Danio rerio: one gene and its partners. The protein of the gene in region 1 purifies or fractionates together with the protein of each later gene. This does not show direct contact. Links are inferred from orthologs where the notes say so. Each region holds a gene or a part of one and is shown on either strand. Other genes may lie near its edges.

Region 1 (3,994 bases):
CCTCTCTTTCTTTCACTCACACACACACACTCTCTCTCAAACATTCTCTCACACACACCCTCGCGCACTCATATCAGGTTTCTGTGAATTGTGGGGACTCTTCATAGACTTCTGTTGTTTTTATTCTGACCCAGCAGCATTCTCTCCCTCACTCCACCCTACAGAAGACCTGCTCAAGCTCTTAAACCATGTAGATGAAAGTGTGTGTCCCTGGAGCACAACATCTTGTCCAACACACTCTTATGGGTGTGTATATTTGGCACTATGCAGCAATACACACTCTCCACCGCGCAGGTACCTGCTGCTGACCGTTCTGCAGGTCTGGAGTCTGCAGATACTCACATTGACACATTTAGCTGACATTAAAGCCCTTTAGTGGGATTAATACATGTATTTTCTCCTGAACTGTGTGTCAAAGCTGGAGGCAGGGAGTCTGCTGGATACACACTGTGTGCATACATTCTGTGTTTTGGCGCCACCACTCGGTCAAACCACACATACACACACACACACTCTCCAACAACCAACACACACCTTTAATATACAATGTTTGTTGCTGTAAAATATACAAAGCAGACTGTAAATCATCTGTGATGCTTAATTGTGGAGGATTAAATGAAATCTGCATCCCTCATCAAACAGAAGCAGAGTAAAAACGAGCCGCAGGCGGAGGAGCGGCACGGCGGCGTCTCAATAAATTACAGAGAATCAGACTTCATGCAGTACCCATGTACAAAACCCCTGGAAAAACAGCTTCAACTGGGCTTACAAATACAATATTGGATCATCAACTTTGATTGCAGCAGAACCAGCGCCGGGCTCCACGGCTAACACAGACTGAGAGAGAGAGACTGAGAGAGAGAGGGAGAGAGAGAGAGAGAGACTGAGAGAGAGAGAGAGAGAGAGAGAGAGAGAGAGAGATCTGTGCGGCTCGTATGAATCTGAGGAACTGAGCGGCGTCTCATCTCGTACCGTCCCAGAGCTAAAGAGGAATACAAAACACCTCAATATACTGACAGCGGCGCACGTGTGTGTGTGTGTGTGTGTGTGTGTGTGTGTGTGTTGATGTGCTTTAGGAGGACACTGAACTGTATAATGACAGTGTAATTACAGTAGGGGTACTGTAATGAGGTGTGTGTGTGGGGGGACACACTGCTTACAGTACAGAGGACGTCCTGCCTGTGGAAAGTCCTCAAAAACCACATATACAAGTGTGTGTGTGTGTGTGTGTTTGGCCAGCCGTCACTCCTGTAGCACACACTCAGACATACTGTCGTGCTGATGGTGGCACTGTTCTGGGATCAGGATAAAGTGGATCCACAGGAGTGTGTGTGGAGATGACAGACATTCTGCTCATCTGTGTGTGTGTGTGTTAACACACACACACGCGCCGCCGCTAGCACTGACAGGGGATCAGCTCTTTGTGACAGGGCTCCATGGTGACGGCGACTCCGACTCCGCTGCGGCCCGACTTCATGTGTGTGACCTCTGTCCATGAGTCCGTCTCTGGGTCAAAACACTCCACACTGTCCAGGAACGTGTTCCCATCATAGCCACCTGCGCGCACACACACACACACACACACACACACACACCATTATAGGCTTCTTACACAGCACTTTCAGTAAATATCTACAGCCGGAGTTTTCTCCTCATGAGGGCAGAGATAGAGAGAGTGTGTGTGTGTGTGTGTGTGTGTGTGTGTGTGTGTCGTACCCAGCACATAGATGCGTCCGTGGTGTGTGGTGACCCCCAGAGCGCTGCGCCGGTGCCGCATGGATGCGCTGAAGCTCCAGCTGTCCTTCTCCACATCGTAGCGCTCCACCGTGTTCAGCTGGTTGGTGCCGTCATATCCACCCATCACATAGATGTAGTTCCCCAGCGCACACACACCTGAACACACACACACACACACCAGGACTCTCGTTACACACATGGGCTCTGGGTGACCTTTAACCGTCAGGACTGAGCGGGTCAGGCAGAGCTGTGGGTCCACAAACTGTGTGTGTGTGTGTGTGTGTGTGTGTGTGTGTGTCACCTGCGCCGCTGCGGACTGTGTTCATGGCCGCTATGCTCCTCCACTCGTCCCGCTCGGGGTTGTAGCATTCCGCGGAGCTCAGCCGGTGCGTCCCATCGAAGCCGCCCACCGCATACAGCAGCCGGTTGATCACGGCCACGCCCACTCCGATCCGCCGCGTCAGCATTGGCGACACCAGCTGCCAGCTGTCCCGCTCCGGGTCATACCTCACACACACACACACACACACACAGAGAGTGAACACACACACACACACCCCTACAGACCTGCACTGGCCGATTACTGTCAGGAAGAATCTGACTAGCCCATACACACCTGTCCAACACACACACACACACACACACACACACACACACACACACACACTGAAAGGACTTTGATTTAATTTGATGATTGACAGGGCTCGTAACTAAGCAACAGAGCAGTCCATTAATGAGGAAGTGGAATGTGTACACACACACTGTTCAGTCACACTCCTCTGTCACACACTCATAAGTATGCAGTGTGTCTTCAGTAATAAAGTGCACACTTTTAAGACGATGCGATGCAGAACAGTCTGATATAGTGTGTGTGTGTGTGTGTGTGTGTGCTCCTCCTCACCTCTCCACGCTGTTGTGGTGTGTGCAGCCGTGTGATCCGCCCACGGCGTAGATCATGCCGTCGATGACGCCGACGCCGATGCGGTTGCGCGGGACGCTCATGTGTGCGCAGGGCCGCCAGCAGTTGTTCATGGGGTTGTAGCAGTCCAGCGTGTGTGAGTCCATGTTCCCGTCGGGCCCGTTGTTGCGTCCACCCACGGCGTACAGCAGGCCGCTGATGACGCAGGCCGCCAGCCCGCTGCGGGGCACCTGCAGGTCCGCCAGCCGCAGCCACGCGCCGCTGCAGGGGTTGAAGGCCTCCAGGAAGCTGAGCGACTGCCGGAAGTATCCGCCCACCGTGTAGATCAGCTGCGGCACCTTGGGCGTGCGCAGGGGGATGACCTTGGTGGGCTTGTGCAGCGTCAGGTCCCGGAAGATCTGTGACAGGTAGTCTTTGCTCTGCGCGTCCCACTCGAAGTGCTCCAGCTGCCGCTGCAGGAAGTGCGGCGTGAGCGAGTGGCAGCGGACGGCCTGCAGCAGCGCCTGCACATACGGACGCCGCTCCTCACGGTCGTACTGAACCCACGCCACACACGCGTGGAACACCTCCGACTCGCAGCGCACGTTCAGCTCGTCCCGGCTGATCAGGGTCACCAGCTGACAGTGAGACAGGGTGAAGAACTCCTCCTGCGTCGCCACCTGCAGGACACACACCGCGCGCGCATGTTAGAGTTGGGGTATTGGTGGTGAGGGCATGCTGTTGGGGGGTTTGGGTTAGGGGGATGTACGGTGGTGCAAAACAACAACACAGACTGAAACACTTACGAAGCTCGAGACAAAGGTAGACTCTGGAAAACATTTTCCCACGATAAGACGCAACTACAGAGGAGAAACCATCTCCCCAAGGAGAAACACAAGAACAAGACCCAAAACACTGTTAGCAGTGCCCAAACACACTTACAGGCACACGCAGAGGGAACGCTCCACACACCGGGAAATATCTATAGAGTCACGGTTTGACCTGCTGCGATTAAACATTGTTCTTGTTCTTGTGTTTCTCCTTGGGAAGATGGTTTCTCCTCTGTAGTTGCGTCTTATCGCGGGAAAATGTTTTCCAGAGTCTACATTTGTCTCGAGCTTCGCTTCGTATTTGACATGAAACGCACATTTTACTCATATATGTAGCGTGTATATGCCCATGAGCTGCCCAGGCGGAATCTGCACACGGTTTTGCTTTTTCTGCACAAAATTGTGTTCAAAATCTGCGGATTTATGTGTAATTATTTTAGGAGTATCATGACTAAAACCCTAATATATGAACTAAAACTAATCCCTTTAAACTTTAATTTCATGTTTACAATGCAAATCCATACAGATC
Region 2 (4,219 bases), on another chromosome or scaffold:
TATAAATTATTTAGAATGTTATTGTTTTGGTTAACTCTAAAAAACAAAAACAAAAAAAAAATAGTTGTTTTTAACTCAATGCTGGGTCAAATATGGATCGACTCAACCACTGGGTAAATTTATGAAACATTTTTTAACCCAATAGTTGGTTTTGTGCATATTTTACACAATGATTTTTAGAATGTATGAAGACAAATGATATCTCTGTAAGCTCTTGTATAAAAATGAATGTTTAATTAGGACAAAAAAATATTATTCCTATTACAATTAGTACAATTAATATATTTTTTATTAATATTAATATTTTTTTATGATTTTAGAATCATTATTTTAAAAATATTGCAATTATTGTTGTGTCTAGTTTTTTTTAATTAAAATGTATTTAGTAGCTATGCGTAATTAATTAGAATGTTATTAATTAATTAGAGTGTTATTGTATTGGTCCCACCAAAAAACAAATGTATTGTTTTAACCCAATGCTGGGTCAAAATGGACAAACCCAACCACTAGGTTATTTTTTTCAACTAAATGAAAAATTAAAAAAAATTAACCCAACAGTTGAATTTGTCCATATTTGACCCAACGTTTTTAAAATGTATGAAGACATTATATCTCTGGAAGCTCTCGTCTAAAAAATAATGTTTGATTAGGTCAATAAAATTATTATTATTATTACTATTAGTACAATGAATATTATTGTATTATATTATTTTTTATTATTGTTTTAGAATTATTGTATTATTTAAATATTGCAATTATTGTTTTCTTTAGTTTATTTTAATTAAAATATATTCAGTAACCATTATAATGTTAATAATCAAAACTTAAATTATTGTATTATTTAAATATTGCAATTATTGTTTTCTTTAGTTTATTTTAATTAAAATATATTCAGTAACCATTATAATGTTAATAATCAAAACTTAAATTATTGTATTATTTAAATATTGTAATTATTGTTTTCTTTAGTTTATTTTAATTAAAATATATTCGGTAACCATTATAATGTTAATAATCAATACTTATCTATATTATAATAATTATAATGTTATTGCGTTGGTCCCCCAAAAAACAAATGGGTTGTTTTAACCTGATACTGGGTCAAATATGGACAAACCCAACCAATGGGTTAATCTCTTAAATTAAATTAAATTAAATATTTTAACCCAACAGTTAGATTTGTCTATATTTGACCCAAGGTATAAGGACAAATTATATATCTTGAAGCTCTTGTCTGAAAAATAACGAACTACAATGTTTTATTAGAACAATAAAAGTATTATTGCTATTAATATTTTTACTTTTAGTATAATTATTATTATTTACTTTTATTTTCTGGATTTTATAATTAGTATTATTATTAAAACTATAATTATAAATTATATATAATATAATTATTTAACCTATAATTGTTTTCTTTAGTTTGTTAAATTAAAATGCATTTAGTAACTACATGATTAATTAGAACGCTGTTGTATTGGTGCACTGAATGAGTTTCAACCCAATGCTGGGTTAAATATAGACAAAAATGGAAAGGTCTCATTTAAATTGAATTGATAAAATCAATCCATTACCACTTCTGTCTATAAATGACCAAACATGTTAAGACAACCCAGCATTTATAGAATGTTTATTATTATGTATCTGGTTCTATTATGAGTGTATTTAAAGAGTATTTAGATGTACAAATGACAAAATAAGAGCCCGCATCGTCGTTCAGATGACTAAAGACTGATTTAAAATAACAAACACTTTTAAAACAGTGATAAATATGTGTATTATGCAGCTTTGATAAATGAATGGCTTTTTTATGACCTGTGCATTTTTTGTACACAAAATCGGGACAAATTTACATACAGCTGCTGAATTACAATACTTATTAAAATAGGATCATTCTTGTTTACAAAATATTATGTTGTAATTATTAGTATTTAGTAACTACGTAATTGATTAAAAATGTAGTGTATTCATTCACTTTTTCTTTGAACAAAAATCTATTAGTTTAAAGTTTCATACAGCTGTTAAATGTTGAATACAATAGTTATTATTAAAAATTATAATGATTGTTTTCTTTAGTTAATAGATTCATTGTTATTAGTACCTATGTAATTAAGTAAAATGTTATTGTATTGAATATATTATGCATTTGGTTTCTATTCTGGGTGTATGTGGATATAAATGACAAAATAAGAGTCACACAATAAGAGTTTATAGATTAATAATTATTATTATTTAGTAACTGTGTTATATTGTTATAGTTTAGTAACTGTAATTAATTAGAATGTTATTGTATTAGCTATATTATGTATTTGGGTCTATTTTAAGTGTACTTAGATATACAAATTATACAATTAAGATTACATACTCATTTGGACAACTTAAAAGCTGCGATTTTATTAAATATTATTTAACTTTGATGAATGAATCACTTTCGTTTTTAATAACCGGCTCGTGTTTGATATTTGTACACACAATCTGATTATCTTAAAGCTTCATACAGCTGCTGAATTACAAAATAACTCTACCTAAGTAAGTAAAGTAACGTTACATATGTTTAAGATTGTTTATGTGCGATAACACTCTTCGTGTTTACTGGAACTCATCGTGTCGTGAATGTGAAGTGATTTTACCTGCTGCTGTAAGACTGGATCTGACCTCCAAAATACACTTTTCTCCGTCTCACAGCTGATTATTCCCGCGACTTTTACACATTTAACGGATTTGTTCGGTAAATCAGACTGTAAAGAGGTTTGTGATTGTGTTTGAAAGCAGAAGAGCGTTGAGTTTCTCTACTTCCTGAAACTTTCCCCCGTAAGTACCGTAGAAGCGCAGACTCAAAAACAGACTTCCGTATTTTCAATAGCCTACTGTACTGTACATACTGCATACTAAAAATACTTCACGAAGAATTTTACATTTATTATTACCGAGATTAAAGATACTACAGTAATTATATAATAAATATTATGTTTTTTATTTGAATTAACCTGTTGGGGTAGTTGCTATGGTAACACAACTACTATATTTGGCTAATGTAAACAACTGTACTGGGTAAACATACGTCATGAAATATACAGCATTTATTATTAACTACATGAAAGATACGCAGTAGTTATAAATATAATGTTTTTGAACCGTAAAGTACTTCAATAAATATGTTGTAGTAACTCTGTAGTTAATATCATAACACAATAACTATGGTAGGCTAATATAAACAACTGTACTAGCTTTCTACTGTACTGTATACAAGACTGTACTGTACTGAAGAATTATAGGACATGTATCCTTACCTACACGAAGAATATTAGCTACTACTGTAATTATATAGTAAATCTTATGTTTTTTAACTGTACAGTAGTTGAATAAGTCTGTTGTTGCAACTATACTTACTAGTAACACACAACAACAATAGTAGGGTAAACAACTACTAGTTTTCTTCTGTACTGTATGCTATATGCTATATACAGCATTACCTACGTGAAAGATACTACAGTTATTATAGTAGGCTAATATAAACAACTAGGCTTAACATACTTCACAAAGAATTATACGGCAATTATTATACCCACATGAAAAATACAACAGTAATTATAAATATGTTTTTAACCGTAACGTACTTGAATAAATCTGTTGCGGTAACTCTGTAGTTACTATGGTAACACAACAACTATAGTAGGCTAATATAAACCACTGTACTAGTTTTCTTCTGTATTGTATACAACACTACTGTACTGTAGGTTAAGCATACTGAAGAATTATACAGGATTTATTATTACGTACATGAAGAATACTTCTGTAATTATACAGTCACAGTGAATATAATTTTAAACCGTAAAGTAGCCTACTTTAATTTGTTGTGGTAACTATGAAGTTGCTATAGTAACACGACAACAATAGTATGCTAATATAAACAACTGTACTGTAGGCATACTTTATGAAGAATTATACCACATTTATTATTACCTACATAAAAGATACTACAGTAATTATATAGTAAATATTATGTTTTTGATTTGAATTAATCTGTTGTGGTAACTCTAGTTGCTATGGTAACACACAACCACTATAGTTAGCTAATATAAACAACTGTACTGTAGGCTTAACGTACTTCAAAAGAATTATACAGCATTTATTATTACCCACAAGAAAAATACTACAGTAATTATAAATATAATTTTAACCGTAACATACTTGAATAAATCTGTTGCGGTAACTCTGT
Region 3 (4,215 bases), on another chromosome or scaffold:
TATGCTAAATGATTATAGATCAATATTTTCTAATCATTTAGCATATAATGTCAAAATGTTAAAGTAGAACATTAAAGTAGAAAGTTACTATGCTTTTTATGTACAGTGCTCAGCATATACGAGTACACCCCCCACAAATGTCTGATTTCAATTAATATTTTCTATAGGATACTGTACAATATTTTATTTGTGCATATACATTAGTTTATTCAGTACTGAAGCCATAGGAGCCTTAGGAACTTTTACAAAAAATATATACAATTTTGTTGAAATGTTGTAGTTTGTAATTTTTTTTTGCAATATTTTGCATTAATTTAAATATATTATCTTTTCATTTCTAAATATGTTCTGTGACTGAAATATTATTTTTAATAAAAATATCTGTTTAATTATCGGTTTTGATCAAATGCACCAATATATATTATCCATATGCACCGAGAAATGGGGAAAAAAATTTCGCCTCCAAAAATTTTCAAACTGGGGAGAGAACTGTATATAAAAATCACTTATACTGAATTTGATGCAGATGACAGAATGGAATGTCTTGTCTTTGAAATATATTTCCTAATATATTTCACTAAAGATAAAGATTACAATAAAAAATTAAGATTATTTCCTAATATATTTTGATATATTCATATAATGGTTTAGAGCTGTGGATACATAGAACAATGTATTTTAATATTACTTATTTTTATATTTCCAAGGTCTAGAAATCACACTTTAAAATGATTGATGCTTTGTTAAATAAATGCAGTATTTCTAACTGCTTTAGCTTCATCTTTTCTTTTTCAATAATTCTAAGTCACCCCAAGGCCCTCATAGAAGTTGAAGCCCATTGTTTTAGAGTAATAAATTTCAGGATCTTAAAAGAAATCCGGAGCTGACAGGTAAGTGACATCTTGAAAGCAATAAGGCTAAAGCAATAAGTCTAAATTCATTTATGACACTTGCATAAAACAAAACTAGTTTCTCACCGGAATTTTATTAGGATGCTGCTCTCGTATCTGCTGCACTTCCTTGCAACGATCAGCTGAAAAGACAAAAAACAAACAGAAATTTGGTACACTTCTGAATAATATACATTTTACAGTCCAAATTCAAAATACACAGTAAGTATATTTTCAAGACTCATTCCTGAAAACACTGTAATCACTGCATTAGCATTTGCTGAATTTGCTTATGTCAAACCTGTTTAGCAGAAACGCTCAATAAACATTCCTAAAAACTTGAGGAAAAATAATTGCGGATGTGTTGTTTGACATGCCCTACTCTACAAACCTATTCCACCATAATGTACAGTATAACAGACAAACAAACATTAATTTCTGTTAAAAGGTTTAATATCTTTTGTTATCACTCTGAAAGCTCAACAATGGTTAATCAACGCATTTGCATTATTTAAATAAACTACACGTTTTAATCTTGTAATTAAAATTTACAAGATTTGCATTTTTAGAGACATTGTCTGTTTTTATTCCTTTTCTATCATTTATTTCTCATCTGCTGATTATTTTATTAATTTATGTTAATATATTACATAGGCTATTTTCTATACATTTCTAAAATGCTTTGGCATTCGAGTTTGCTTTGAACTTGGAGTGAAAGAAGCAGATTTTACCTGTCAGAGGGTGCAAATGGCTCCTGAATAGTATAAAAGTAAGAGAAATAGTGGATTTTTTTCAACAGTCTTTTTACTTTAAGCCATTGAAAAGAAACTGTATAACAATGTCATAATAAATAAAATTGTAAAAATTAACTTATGTTTTGTTTGTCGAAAATCAATATCTATTTAAGTGATGATGTGGGTAACTTGTGTTTCATTCTGGCTACCACTGCAAGTATATTTCAAAGTAAAACTAAAAAAAATCCAGCTTGCTTATCAGGGTAAGCTTCCTAACTTGTGTGTCATTTTTACTGATGTCATGTCTGGGTCATCCGTGTCAATTGTATAATCCCAAAGGCTGGACAAATATAAGACTGTATGCAGATCATATTGACCCGGACTCTTACAGATGTGTTTGAAACAGCAAATCTATGTTGCACTTGTTATGTTTAGGAAGATTATGCAAGGGTTTTATGCTCCTCCCTCCCCACACCCTGTCCACAGTCTGGACTATGAGAAAGAGCTCATATTACAGCATCATATCAACAGCACGTGTACAGTCCATCCTTTCCTTCAATGTTATTGTCAAACAATAAATATTCTAAATATATAAATGCATCATTTACACCAAATGTAACAGAAAAACACTACTGTCAAAAAAAAGAAATGTTGATCTCACATTTTCACAAAGCTGGTAAACAACACATTTATCTAGCTACATATCTGTAACTATATGTCATTCATCTATGTTTCTAAGTAAAAAGTTAAATATAAGGTTATATACGTATTTACAAACACAACAGTTGTAAAAAAAATAAAGCTGATAAAATTTAAACACAAGGCCTATAAAAAAGCCCAAGCTAGCTTACTGTTTAGCAACTGACCTCTGTCGGTTTTTGTTAAAAACTGTCATTTAGACTTTAATATTTATTTCTATAATCGTCTCATAAGCATTTAGAGCTTTGTAGAGGAATGTAAACAGTGTGTCACGCAGTTGCTAGCAGGCTAGGGACAAAAACAAACCTGATAAACAAATACACTTCGGCTGACAAGGCACGAATAAAACTCATCTTACCGAAGCTCCGTCGTTGTTTGAAGGGTCTGTCGGATGGCATAACTGTGCTTGAATGTGGTTAAAAGTAGTTTAAAGGGTTTGCGTGTTATTATATGCTGAATTGTCGGTCGACTCGGCTTCTTTTCGAGCTCCTGACTCACTGTAAGCAAAACAGCTCGAGACAATATACTAAAGCTCGTGACGTCATCAGATTTAAAGAGACAGAGTCCTCTTTAAATGAATAGTTTAACCAAAACTAAACATTTACTCAGCATTTGCTTAACCTCAACTGGTTTTAGACTATTATGGGTTAATATTTCCTATTAAATGAAATAGAAGATATTTTGAAGAATGTTGGAATCCGGTAACCATTGATATCCATTGTAGTGGGGAAAAATGCAAAATTAAGTCAAGAGTTTTCAACATTTCTAAAAAATATTTTCTTCTTTTGCGATCAATTTAAATTCAAACAGGTTTTTGCAGCCATTTACAAGAATTATTTTAAACATGAAATCATTTTCAATTCTCTATATAAACCTAAACTAAATTTATATTATGGCAAAAAACAAAGCACCTTTTCCATTCAATATGAATACACACAGCCACAAAAAGTAATAAAAGGAAATACATTGTTGTTTTATTGTCCTGTTAGCATTCACAAACAAGTACAGTATGTAATAGTGTCATGTTTTTGCTTTTTGATGATGAACAGTTTGGAGTACTTGCAAAAATGAGAATGAGAAAACAATAAATTAAGTATATGGCAAACTATTGGAATGATAAGCAAGAGCAGTACAAACCATATTTTTATAATAGGATAAGAAGCAACTTCCTGTAATGTTATGTGGTTAATAGTACTATATAAACCTCACTGAAACATTAAATGAAACACTTTTGGCCTGTAATTACAGAAAAAAAAATACTTCAGAAGTACTTAGAAGGACTACTCTGTGGGATTTTGAATGACGATCAGGAAATAGTCCTTGTCTGTGGAGAAAACAGAGTAAATATATGATTAATTTCTGATCATTACAATTAGTTGATATCAGATTTATATAGCACATTACAGAATAATACAACACGCAAATTGGTTTTTGTAAAGATAGACTTGAATGTACAACATTATGGCATTTATAACAAAACATCAACCCCTACCCTAACTCTAAACCTGTAAACAGTAATGTAAAAATATTAATTATTGTTATACAGTGTCATTAAAATTGCTGCTATATTGATGTGCATATCGCACTTCTAGCCAGCAGTGTATCCTATTTCTATCTAGACTTTACCCTAAATCAGGGCTTTTCAAAATAAGGTCCGGGGGACCCATTCAGTGAAATGTTCAGAGAAAAGGCTTAAATAAAACATATATATCAATAAATAAAAGTAATTAATACTTTTGTATTAAAATAAGCCTAACATTGTATTAAGAATAAGGCTAATACATACAATTTAATAATAACTTGTTAAATTTGCAAAAATAAATAAATAGCAGCTGGATAATTATTTTAAAATAAAGTATTCATATAAGTAAGTGTTAAATAAACAAACACAT

What was found.
Region 2: the proteins of keap1b (region 1) and ikbkb purify together in Homo sapiens (affinity purification with western blotting; 7 studies listed by BioGRID and IntAct, with this or other methods). This does not show direct contact. The link is inferred for Danio rerio from reciprocal best matches to the Homo sapiens genes KEAP1 and IKBKB.
Region 3: the proteins of keap1b (region 1) and map1lc3a purify together in Homo sapiens (affinity purification with mass spectrometry; 3 studies listed by BioGRID and IntAct, with this or other methods). This does not show direct contact. The link is inferred for Danio rerio from reciprocal best matches to the Homo sapiens genes KEAP1 and MAP1LC3A.

What each region holds. Positions count from the first base shown.
Region 1 is NC_133181.1:199,192-203,185, forward strand, and holds the end of keap1b (kelch-like ECH-associated protein 1B), read right to left. Parts: intron 3,316-3,994; coding exon 2,639-3,315; intron 2,245-2,638; coding exon 2,039-2,244; intron 1,894-2,038; coding exon 1,717-1,893; intron 1,558-1,716; coding exon 1,397-1,557; 3' UTR 516-1,396; downstream 1-515. UniProt on the Homo sapiens protein: Substrate-specific adapter of a BCR (BTB-CUL3-RBX1) E3 ubiquitin ligase complex that regulates the response to oxidative stress by targeting NFE2L2/NRF2 for ubiquitination.
Region 2 is NC_133183.1:3,547,122-3,551,340, reverse strand, and holds the start of ikbkb (inhibitor of nuclear factor kappa-B kinase subunit beta), read right to left. Parts: upstream 2,803-4,219; 5' UTR 2,631-2,802; intron 1-2,630.
Region 3 is NC_133186.1:28,686,142-28,690,356, reverse strand, and holds the start of map1lc3a (microtubule-associated proteins 1A/1B light chain 3A), read right to left. Parts: upstream 2,803-4,215; 5' UTR 2,722-2,802; coding exon 2,682-2,721; intron 1,034-2,681; coding exon 978-1,033; intron 1-977. Other genes in the region: dynlrb1 (dynein light chain roadblock-type 1), read right to left, coding at 3,604-3,647. UniProt on the Homo sapiens protein: Ubiquitin-like modifier involved in formation of autophagosomal vacuoles (autophagosomes). While LC3s are involved in elongation of the phagophore membrane, the GABARAP/GATE-16 subfamily is essential for a later stage in autophagosome maturation.